2 linked regions of the Cricetulus griseus genome follow. The protein of the gene in region 1 binds, or shares a complex with, the protein of each later gene. Links are inferred from orthologs where the notes say so. Each region holds a gene or a part of one and is shown on either strand. Other genes may lie near its edges. The genes, in order: Ogdh and Tcaim.

The links.
Region 2: the proteins of Ogdh (region 1) and Tcaim are in contact, whole or in part, in a cryo-EM structure (PDB 8I0K), measured with the Homo sapiens proteins. The link is inferred for Cricetulus griseus from reciprocal best matches to the Homo sapiens genes OGDH and TCAIM. Residues at the interface, in NP_001425937.1 of Homo sapiens: Gly301, Tyr304, Arg323, Tyr354, Arg356, Ile358, Arg364, Asn365, Lys387, Glu391, Tyr394, Cys395, Gly396, Thr398, Glu399, Lys401, Lys402, Lys561, Met602, Pro605, Glu667, Gly668, Ile669, Asn709, Met734, Ala735, Ser736, Pro737, Asn738, Gln772; in NP_001269842.1 of Homo sapiens: Glu214, Gln234, Arg235, Ser236, Trp237, Gly238, His241, Ser244, His247, Ser248, Arg251, Gln255, Asp272, Arg273, Thr286, Met287, Asp288, Val289, His290, His291, Glu331, Leu332, Gln333, Pro334, Val335, Arg375, Tyr376, Glu441, Ser443, His473.

The regions. Positions count from the first base shown.
Region 1 is NW_023276807.1:98,578,066-98,584,128, reverse strand, and holds the start of Ogdh (2-oxoglutarate dehydrogenase, mitochondrial), read left to right. Parts: upstream 1-2,718; 5' UTR 2,719-2,841; intron 2,842-3,515; exon of another isoform or gene 3,516-3,656; intron 3,657-3,784; exon of another isoform or gene 3,785-3,974; intron 3,975-6,063. UniProt on the Homo sapiens protein: 2-oxoglutarate dehydrogenase (E1o) component of the 2-oxoglutarate dehydrogenase complex (OGDHC). Participates in the first step, rate limiting for the overall conversion of 2-oxoglutarate to succinyl-CoA and CO(2) catalyzed by the whole OGDHC.
Region 2 is NC_048597.1:229,756,098-229,762,014, forward strand, and holds the end of Tcaim (T-cell activation inhibitor, mitochondrial), read left to right. Parts: intron 1-432; coding exon 433-665; intron 666-1,558; coding exon 1,559-1,690; intron 1,691-2,743; coding exon 2,744-2,984; 3' UTR 2,985-4,607; downstream 4,608-5,917. UniProt on the Homo sapiens protein: May regulate T-cell apoptosis.

The sequences.
Region 1 (6,063 bases):
TAAATCCTTTCCTTCCCAGTTGACTTTTGGTTATGGTAGGTTTTTTTGGAGGGGGGGATTTGGTTGGTTGTTTTTTGTTTTTCTGTGTAACTATCCTGGGTGTCCTGGAACTCATTTTGTAGACCAGGCTGGCCTTGAACTCTGCCTCCCATGTGCTGACATTAAAGGACTGTGCCACCACTTCCTCTAGTCATAGTGTTTTATTACAGCTGTGAGAGGTTCAAATCACATGCTCATTGTCTGGTGCCAAGAGTCATGGCTGGGATTGGACCAAATACTTCCGTTGTATGGTGTAAGCAGGATACCCCAAGCTTGCTTCCCAGGTCACTGGGAAATGCTGTCCTGTGCTGCTTTCCCTGGTTTTGCAACAGAAGGCCCAGTTTTATTTTATTTATTGTTGTTGTTTTTCAAGACAGGGTTTCTCTGTGTAGTCCTGGAACTCACTCTGTAGACCAGGTTAGCTTCGAACTCAGTTCCACCTGTCTTTGTCTCCCAAGTGCTGGAATTAAAGGCGTTCGAAACCACTGCTTGGCTAGGTCCAATTTTAAAAGGATTCTCTTGAGTGATCCTCTCTTGCAAACTTCTGGTATCATGGACTGAGGCAATAACACAAAGAAAGCTTTCTTGTGTAGGCCTAGAAAAGCAGGATTCCTTAGTGCCCAAAATCAGCCAGTGTTACAGTGTGGGGTATGAGACCCTTGACGGTAAAGATTTGACACCTCTCTGTGACTCTCTTTTAGATCGAATGAGGAACAAGGACTCCTGAGTACCAAGGCTGCATTTAAGCTACAACAGCAAGCTCTAACCAAGAGCTGAGGAATCTTGGCTTCCTAGCCCCATGTAAGAGCTTATCACTGGTAGGGCCCAGGACTCCAATACCTGAGAAGGAAGACAACTCAGGTGTGCCATTTGCTGCTGTTTCTGCCATGCATCATGGCCTGTCACTGCTGCTAAAGACCAGATCTTGAAGAGCTTACTCATGACTTCTCTTCCAGTAGGGCAAAAGGACTCCTGAACCGTCTCATTCATAGCACTGGTACCATCTGACATACATAGGCAAAGGTAAACTGCCTCAAATCATAAGGTATTTTAAAGTCTGTATTATTGTCCAGCAAAAACTTTGAGCCTATATTCTGTACTCTGTTAAAAAACAGAAATTGGAGTGGAGTTAAAGGCCATGAGCCTGTAATCTTAGTACTTGGTATATGGAGGCAAAGGAACAGGAGTTCAAGGCCAGCCTACATTATGAGTTTGAGGCCAGCATGAGCTACTGTCTCAAACAAAAACAACAAAAGACATGAAAATGAAATGAACCATTCCCCTTTGTGAGACTGGATCCAGCTATGTAGCCCAGACTACCCACAAGACCTCTATGTAGTCCATCTTGAACTCCAATTGGTCATAGCCTTCCCAGTTCTGGGATTATAGGTGTGTACTTTCAAACATGGCTGAACATTTTTACACTAGGAGCTGTAACATGAATTCTAATTGTTCTTAATAAAAACTCAGAGTCAGAAATTGGGGCTGGGGGAAGATCAGAGAAGCAAAGCAGCCAGCCACTAGCTCTTTCTTTTCTTTTAAATTTACTTTATGTGTATTTGTGTGAAGGTGTCAGATCTCCTGGAATTACAGTTGTGAGCTCCTGTGTAGGTGCTGAGAATTGAACCTGGGTCCTCTGGAAGAGCAGCTACTGCTCTTAACAGCTGAGTCATCATCTCTCCAGCCCCCACCAGCCACTAGTTCTTACCTCTACCTCAGACCAAATAGGCGATCCTGACTCCACAAATCCTCAGATTGAAATACTAACTGCCTTAGACTGACCGCTTAGACTGCTAGACTGCCCCAGCTCCTGTCTCCTCCAGCCTTATACTCCTCTCTCCGCCTAGCCATATCCCTTTCTGTCTCCACCTCCTTAGTGCTAGGAGTGCTTTAATCCTATAAAGGTGTGCCACTCCAAGTGCTTCGATCACCTTTGTGTGAGCTCTGTTTCTCTTTTAGACTGGATCAATTTCGTGTAGCTCAGGGTGGCCTTGAACTAACAGAAATCAGTCTTCCTGTCTCACCAATGCTCAGATTAAAGGTGTGCACCACTGCTGCCTGGCCTCTATGGCTAACTAGTGTGACTAGCTTTGCAGTCTGATCTTCAGAAAAGCTTTGTTAGATCATAAACAAAATATTACCACAGGGAGCATTTCTTGGCCAGTGGAGTGTGACAGGTTAATTAGTGGCATTCTGCCTGTTTATAGCAGGCTCTGGAGCCAGGCCATCCAGGGGCATCCCAGCAGAGCTTCCTGTCAGAATGCAGGTAGAAACACCCAAGTGTAACTTGTTATACAATAGGACTAACTACTCTTCACAAAGACTGCTGCAAAACAAGTGTTCAAAAATGTAGATCTTGTTAGTCAAATTATTTTGTGCAGTGGTAAATTTCACCAACCCAACTATTATTTAGTGCAGCTTGTTTCAGATACAAAGCCGGCGGGTCTTTAAGTCGCCACGCTCATGCTTCCGCTCGCCAAACGCCGCAATTACAGGAGTGCACCACACGCCATGAATTTACTGGAGTCTTAGCCAGGCTTTGGAAGCTTCTCATGTTTAACTACTAATGACAGTGGAAGCGCGGTGAGCAACAGGCCGACTTCGGCCAGTGGCCAAGTTCCGCATTGGCGCGAAGCCGGAGTGACTGAAACGTGACGTCATGACACGCCTACAGGCCTTCGTGCAGGCCGCTCCTCTGGGGCCGGGCTACGCGCTGACGCCACACGCCGGGGCGGGGCCGAGAGTTTGGAGCCCGGAGTGGGGTGTCGGCGCCTCACTCGGGTGGAGCAGAACGGGAGACAGGTAACCTTGCGCGGCGGACGGGCTCAGTCCAGTGCTGGGAGGTTCGGCGCTTGACACCCGAGGCTTGCGGCCGAGGGTGAGGCCTACACGCCCTTGCAGCCGGGGCACCTGAGTGACGGGTGTGGAGCCGGACCTAGCCGGGCTGACGGAGGGCGGCGATGGTGGGCGGAGGACGAGGCCTGATGGACAGGCGTCGTAGCCAATGGGGTGGCAGGGTCCGCCTGGCAGGCGGGGATTGGCGAACACGGACGGGCGCCGGGGGTCGCCGGGGCGAGCGCTATTGGCTCTGGCGGCGGAGCTTCGGAGGCGGCGGGCTAGGGTGTCGGTGGCTCGGCGGCCCGGGAGAACCCCAAGGTCGCGGCGCGTCACGTGGTCCGGTCGCTTCCTCCGGCCCGCGCGCGTTCTTTTGTCCTGCGTGCTCTGACCCCAGCAGGCCGCCGTCCTTGTGGTCGCCGCGCCCGGTCACGGCGCTGACCTTGGTGCCTGCGGCAGCCCCACCTGCCGGTATGAGGTAGAACAGGCAACGGGCCAAGGTGACACTGGTTTCCCTAGAAACACCATCCACGCACCGCTTTCCTCGCGAGAGTGTGTGACAGATGTGACTTAATCCGCTGAGTGACTGGGAAGCCCGCTACGTGCTCTCTCGCCTGAGTTAGCAGATCATGTTCCTTTTACCCACCGAGCAGTGTGCCTGTCGCTGAAATGACAAGTTCGGAAAGAGTACTCACGTGGCAGACGCCAGTGTTAAGACAGGAGCCCCGCGGGTAGGGCACAGGAATATCTACAGGGTGAGGTGTGGAGAAGGGGAGTTAAAGGTAATGAGAAGGGAAGGGCTAGGTGTTGTGCGCATGCGTAACCCAACTTCCTGATTCGCTCTGCAGGATCAGAAAATGGCGCCGTTGTCATTGGAGGGTGGAGTTTTAGACCCTTGACGTCAAAAGGTCACTCAAGGAGCACCTCTGCAGGCCCAAGTCAGTGGTGTCACCAGTTTCAATTGAGGCCTCGTGGTACATGAGAACAATTTAGATAGGATGATCCTAAGTCGGAGGTGTTATCTATATATAGCGAAGCCAGTTGGAATGTGCAATTCAGCTTCTTCACCTCTAAGCAGAATCAAGTAACTAAAAACAAAAGTAAGCTTTTTTTTTTTTTCAGATTTTCTGTGGATTTCATTACTCTTACAGGCCCGAATCGTGTCTGTGCATCCCATGCTATGGCACTGAGCAGAGGACACTGTTGGCGTTTGCTAGTTTGCCTGGTCTTGTAGTCCTGCCCTTGAGGTGGCATTAGAATGAGTGACACTGTAATTGACTTTTCTCTTTTTCTAGTCTTTGTCACTTTGCATCCCATATTATGCAGTTTTCTTTTTTATTTAAAAAGTTAACATTTATTTATTCGTATGTAGGGGAACAACATGCTCCTGTGACAGCGCTTGAGTAGGTGTCATATGACAACTTGTGAGACTTGGTTTTCTCCTTTCACCATGTGTGTCCTGGGGATTGAATTTAGGTGGCCAGGTTTGGTGGCACTGTTCAATCTTGGAGGCCCCCCCCCATACGTACACATTTAGGTTTGCTTATCTTTTTGATAGATTGACCTTTTCATTATTTTTCTGTCCCTCTCAGTCTCTGGTAATTGCCTTTTCTTTGCTGTCTGCTTTATTAAATAATAATAGGGCCATTCTTAGAAATATGTGGATTTTTCAAGACAGAGTTTCTCTGTAGCCCTGGCTGTCCGGGAACTCTATCTGTAGACCAGGCTGTCCTTAAACTCACAGAGATCCGCCTGCCTCAGCCTCCCAAGTATTGGGATTAAAGGCGTGGGTCATCTCTACCTGGCATGAAATAATGTGTTTTCAACTTTAGGTTCTGTGTTACTATCTTTGAAGTGATATTGTCGACAAGTATATACTTGATTTTGTTTTATCCACTGCCTGTTGGTCTTCTGATATGTTAGGATTTATAGTGGTATGCTAAAATTTAAGGCTTTCATTTAGCTATTCTAGTTTCATTTCTCTGCTTTCTTTGTACTGACTCTTCTGGGTTACTTTCAGTATACATACAACCAAGGCTCACCTTGAACTCATGATTATCCTCTTGCCTCAGCCTTCTAAATGGTGTTTTCTCTGGTGTTTGACTGCAGTAGGAAAATTGTTTAAATTTTTCATCTTGCTGCTCCTGTCACTATCCTTTGGCTTAAGAGCATAGGCTTTGTGCCTTCTCTTGTCTACATCTGTTGGCATTTCTTTCTTTTTTTTACTTTCCTTTTTTGTTTGTTTGTTTGTTTTGAGACAGGGTTTCTCTGTGTAATAGCTCTGGCTGTCCTGGAACTGGCTCTTATAGACCAGCCTGGCCTCACACTCAGAGAGATCTGCCTGCCTCTGCTTCCCAAGCCCTGGGATTAAAGGCGTGTGCCACCACTGCCCAGCTACTTGTTGGCATTTCTTAGATCTTCTCTATTACTTATTCTGGAACATGTGCCACAAGGGTGGTACTCTTTCAGTGCTCTATCTGAGTCTCTTCAGGTGCCAAGATTCAAGGTTCAAGTTAGTTTGCTTTTTCTGTCAACCTTTTTGAGACTTTTGTTTTATATTTAACATTTATGTTTGTGGCTGAGTTTAGCAGGAAACAAATTCTTTATGTGCTTTAATAAAATGTTGACAGATTATCATGCTTTCTATAAAGATTTCATAATTTTCACTCTTTAAGAACATATTATTTTCAGCTGGGCAGTTGTGGTGCATGCCTTTGATCCCAGCACTCGGGAGGCAGAGGCAGGCGGATAGATCTCTATGAGTTCAAGACCAGCCTGGTCTACAAGAGCTAGTTCCAGGACAGCCTCCAAAGCCCAGAGAAACCCTGTCTCAAAAAAACAAAAACAAGAATAAACATTGTTTTCTTTGAGATAGGGCCTAATTAATCCAGGCTGGCCTGGAACTCGAGGTGCACTTCCCTTCACCTCCAAAGTACTGGGGTTACAGGTGTGTATCATAATGCAACACCTCTTAAAGTGCTTCTGTACTTCTGCCCTCACCAGTCTGCCTGCTTAGACCCTTGCAGTATTGGGCACCTCTGATGTTGCAGAACCACAGATAGAGAAAGAGCACAGCAGTCTTCACACTCCGGTACATAGATTAGCTCAGTGGTCTGACTTTGGAAGTGCTCCTAGATGTAGGCCCGCTTGTGGCTAGATGGGCTAAGTAAGTCTTGTGTTAAATAATGG
Region 2 (5,917 bases), on another chromosome or scaffold:
GGCTTGATCTTCCCTGGGGCTTTTCTTGTTCTGTGGCCGAGGCTGCTCTTCTCACTTCCCATCCAAACCCTAGACTGATAGTTTGTTTTGAATATTAGTACTTCCAGGATTATATTGTCTTTTTTACTGTATTTTCCTTGAATAATCCATCTACAAAAATAATTTTTTAAAGATTTTTTTGTTATGTATACAATTTTCTGCTTCCATGTATATCTGCACACCAAAAGAGGGCACCAGATCTCATAACGGATGGTTGTGAGCCACCATGTGGTTGCTGGGAATTGAACTCAGGTCCCCTGGAAGAGCAGTTGGTGCTCTTAACCTCTGAGCCATCTCTCCAGCCCTTACAAAAATAATTTTCAAAATGTTCTCATTAGCTGGACTCCTAAAGTTATAGTAACATAAAATTAAATGTCTTTTCTTTCAATATAGCTCTTTGAAAGCTTGCCAAATTATTTTGATCTTCAGAGGAGGATGTCAGTCTTAGAAGACCAGATAAGCAGTCTTCTAGGGGGCATCCAAGTGGTTTATATCGAAGAGCTACAGCCAGAATTCACAATTGATGAGTACTACTCCCTCCTCAATGTGTTCTATAATCAGCTGCTGAAAAGTAGGGTACCGTCCCACCCTCAAGGTCTGAGCGGCTTGCAGATGATCCTCAGCAGGTAAACATCTGGAACTGGATCGATGGATGGATGGATGAATGGATGGATGGACGGACGGATGGATGTGTTTCAGGACAATGACCTGATTTTTTGTTTCATAGCATGGTTCTTGTAAATTTAATAGTAATATAATAATGAAAGAAATGAGTGTCTGGAAGAATGGTTCAGTAGTTAAGAATGGATGCTCCTTTGGCAGAGGATTCCAATTCAGTTCCCAGGGCCATGTCTGGCAGCTCATAACCACCTGTGATGCCAGCTCCAGCCCACCTCAGGCACTGCACTCACTTGCAAAGACAGACAGAGACATTATATATGTGTTCAAATGATTTTTTACAATGGAGGCCATGCATATGGTACACACCTTTAATCCCAGTACTCAAGGCAGAAGAAGAGACTCACAGCCAGCCTCAGCTGAACAATGCAACCCCTTATCAAAAACAAAACAAAGAATGTCACTACTTGTGAAAAGAATTGTATTTACAGCCCTGTTCTGCATATGTCAAAAGCCAAGCTGAATGGCTGAAGAGTGGATCTCTACAACAATCTTTGAAAACATAGCCACTGATCAGGGAAGTAAATCACTCAATCATGATGTAAAGTCAGTAGGTAGCGTGCACTCACACACACGTGTGTGTGTGTGTGTGTGTGTGTGTGTGTGTGTGTGTGTGTACTCGCTACCTGCATTATCCTATGTGGTTAAATGCAATCTCAAGTATTCACAGACTTACCTTGAAGCTAGTCCCTGCCATGTCACAGACAACAGCATGTCATCATCGTTGTTGCTGTAATTTAATATGGATTTTCTGATGACTATTCTTTAGTCACTTGAGATAAAAAAAAAAGCATTGTCTGTGGAAGTGGTGATGTTTCCCTTAATACACACTTTGTTTCAGTGACAGGTATGAGCCAACCTTGCATGAACTTGGACATTTTAACATCCCAGCCCTCTCAGATCCAGCAGGCCTCCAGTCATTTATGAGAGCCAAAGCTCGGCAGGCAAGAGAGAACATGACCAGAAGGGAGGAGTAAGTGCTGTCCACTTCCAGGATGTTTGAGGGCATGACTTTCAGACAGATAATAGAATGCATTGTCTGCATTTCAGTTGTTTTATTCATGCATGGCTGTTTTTCTCTTGGTATCAGCAGGGACCAAAGAGGGCATTGGAACCCCTGAAGGTGGAGTTACAGGCAGTTGTGAGCCACCATGTAGGTGCTGACATTTGAACTTGCATCTCTGTGAGAATCACAAGTGCTCAAGACTGCTGAGCCATCTCTCTAGCCCTGTTATATTTAAACTTTAAAGTGTAACCAGTTCAAAACTAGTCCTGTTTCTGTGTTGTTTATAACTTGGAATCACTTGACAGCCAGTGGTTCCTCATCACAGATTTGAAGCTGTAGAGTCCCTTGTAGAGGAGAAAGGGTAGGAATGGGTCCACATAAAGGAATGGACAGACAGGTGGACAGGACAGCAGGTTCAGATGGTGAGCAGGAAGGGAGAAACAGCTCGGGAGCAGGGTACAGCCTGATCTCAACATCCTAATAAGGATTTATACTCGTAGTTTTTTCTTCACTTAGTCACTATTAGTGTCTAGGGGAGGTGTATGCAAGCTTTTTAAACTATGTACTATTAGACTGGAGAGACGGTTCAGCTGTTAAGAGCACTGATTGCTCTTCCACAGGACACAGGTTCGATTTCCAGCACCCACATTGTACCTCATGACCATTTGTAACTCCAGTTCTGGGAATCCAACACCCTATTCTGGTTTCCAAGGGCAATGGGCACACAGGTGATGCACAGACATCCATGCAGACAAAACGTCCATACACATTAAAAATAATAAATGTTTGGAAATTAGGAATAAAGTGTGTATCATTTTTACTTCACTAATGCTAAAAAGATTAAGTACTTTTATAGTTTTATGTAGAAATAAATCAACCAGTACTGGGCACAGGATAACTCTTGGCATGTCTTTTCCCCATGACTGCCTTGTATGGGCACTATGCAATCACCCCAACATTTAAGAATATATATTTTATCTTATTTAATAATAGCTTATGACAATTTTTTTTATTTAATAGGTTAAAAGTTATTGAAAACGAGTTGATTCAGGCTTCAACAAAGAAGTTTTCCCTGGAGAAGTTATATAAAGAGCCCAGCATTTCTAGTAGACAAATGGTGGACTGTTGTAAGAGACTTCTAGGACAGTCCCTGCCTTATCTACATGGGATGCGCCTCTGTGTGTCACATTTTTATTCTGTTATGCAAGATGGAGACCTGTGCATCCCCTGGGACTGGAAGAAAGGAGAAGCTACCAAGTAACACAGATAGCTGTTTTACTTTCTGGAGAAATGAGAAACTGTTGAATTTATTTAAATTCAGTTTGATATATTATTAGTGTTCACAGGTTAGAACACAGTTCCTGACTGCTGCTCTAAAAGTGGAGTGAGCCTTCCTTTGTGGTAATTTTATGCTAAGAAACTTATCTTTCAAAGGTTTTATCCCCTAGTTTTATGATGCTGATGGCTAGGCAAAAAGATCCTTAGAAAGAAAACTATTTTAAAGATATGTAATAGAGAGTTTGGTAAGTCATATATTTTTATATGAGTGGATGTGTGTGTATAAAAATTGACCTCATTCAGTATAGCTCTTTAGTACTAGAACTCATTTTTACATCCAACACAGTTCAATGTATGTCTTCATAGTTACATCTCATAGACACACACACTTTGTAGCCAGTAATGGACAGTTATGTTCAAAACAGATGATTGATGAGTAGCAAAAATTAAATAACCACGTTTTGTTTGAGAAAGTTCTGTTTTTGTTTTTTGTTTTGTTCTGTTTTTGTTTTTGTTTTTGTTTTTCAAGACAGGGTTTCTCTGTGTAGCCCTTGCTGTCCTGGCACTCACTCAGTAGACCAGGCTGGAACTCACAGAGATCCGCCTGCTTCTGCCTCCCGAGTACTGGAACTAAAGGCATGTGCCACCACCACCCATTGAGAAAGATTTTTTAAAACCCTATTAAACATATGCTATCAACACTGTTTGATACTAGTTTATTTAAATACATGATTTCTTCTACCAATCAAAATATCTGTAGAGCATGTATTTGGTAGACAGAGGCCCTGGGTTCCATCCCTAGTACCAAGAATGAGTCAGATGTATTATTGTCATTAATCCAGAAGCTCCTCCTAAAAGCTGTCAGCACTGGCCCAGGTACAGCCTGCAGCCTCCTGTGATCTCTGATGTCTCCCACATAGTGGGAGGCCACTGTCTATTCAGAGCAGACACACACACACACACAAACACACACACACACACACACACACACACACACACACTCTCTCTCTCTCTCTCTCTCTCTCTCTCTCTCTCTCTCTCTCTCTGTCTCTGTGCCCTTCTCCCCTGAGGAAATCCTGAGTTTTTCCCACGGTGCATCAGAACAAAGGAGACATTACAGTCAGTTTTTCATGTTTTGGACTTTTATAAAACATTAGTTATTTAAACAGTTCAATTGTATGTTCAAAATAAGAACTGAATTGTAAAAGGAGTATGTGTGCCATTATTGTTTTGACCCATGCTAATTAGACAAATGTTGCTATAAATACTATCCAAAATATTCTACATAAGAAAGAGTCCTCAAGTTGGGTTTAGTGGTGCACGCCTTTAATCCCAGCACTCAGGAGGCAGAGGCAGGTGGATCCCTGTGAGTTCAAGGACAGCCTGGTCTACAAAACAAGTTCCAGGACAGCCAGAGCTGTTACATAAAGAAACCCTGTCTCAGGGTGGGGGAGGAGGAAGAGTTCACAAAGATAGGATAGTTTATTGGAAAATTGATTATGCCACTTGTAACATCAGCTAACACAGAATCTTCTGTGATGTGTGTTGAACTGGATTTGTCTCCAAACTAATTGTTACATAATAAAAAAATACCTTGTTGACCATATAGCTGCTTTTCTTGTTTTCTGGTTGTTAAAGTTTGACAACTAGTAGTTGTAAGAAATTGTTAGAAGTGATCTTTTGGACTTCATCTCAGAATATTTGTGCTTCCCCCCACCACAGAGAGAGCAGGTGAAGCCTCTGGTGTGAAATGGATCCAAAGAGACCTGCACTCTGAGCACAGCTGAGCTGCCCCCACAAGGAGAGCTGGGGCTAGGTCCCTAACTACCAGACTGTCTGTTCCCAGCATGGGCTGCCAAAGCCCTTCTCCCTCCCCTCTGGAAAGGCCTCTACCCCTAAGGAGCCTCTGAGTTGATGAGTGACAGGAAGGCTTTGAGAAGTGGGCACATGAGATGAAGGGCCAAGGGCAGTTCACTACTGGAGCCTAAACACTGGGCACATAGCAGCCAGAGGTTCTTCACTGAGGGCAGTGTAGGCCAGGTGGTGGTGGTGGTGGGTGTGGGTGTGCTCTCTATGGGTACCTGGAAGCACACTGGAGGAGGGACAGCCTGTGCTTCTCAGCATCTCAGGGTGCAGTCACTTGATGGCATCAAGGGCAGACCTCCCCAGTCTCAAGCCCAAAGTACACAGCCCTATCCTGACTATCAGTCAATTTCCTTAGGCTCACTTCACACCAAAATCCCACCTCTGCAGGGACCCTGCTTGCCCACAGCCTGGCAGGATCTGGTCTTGTCTACACCACCTTCACCCTGAGGGTTGCTCCCTGCCTACCTAATAACTGTGGGCGGGCTGAAATTTCTCTGCCATCCAGTTTTGCCCAATGGTACAAACACCACCCTTTTTGGTGTAGTGCTGGAGACTGAACTTGGGAACTTGTGCCTGTTAGGGCAAGTGTTCTACTGAGCTACATCTCCAGCCAAAACACCCTTTTATTTCCTGTGTGTGTAAAAGTATGTACAGATCAGAGGACAACTTTTAAGAGCTGATTGTCTCTATCATAGGGATCCAACTCAAGAGCGGGCTCTGTGGCAGGTGTCTTTACCAGCAGAGCCATCTTGCTAGTCCTAGAAACTCTTTCATAGCTATTAAGGAGTTACATGTTTTTATTGTGGGGACAGATGACCCTCTCAAGCAGTCAGTGTTACAGTGTTCCTCTTGAGTCTGGCCTTTTATGTAAACCACTGTGACTAGGGGCTCCAAATGGTCATAGCCTAACTGTTAAGGGATGGGAATCCTGCTTTTATTTTTAGCCTTTTATCTCTACATAAACTATTCATTTCCTTTGGAGAAGTGTTGTTTTTCTTTGTTGGCATCTTGTAAAACACAGCTGCATCCAATCAAGACTCAAGAAAACAG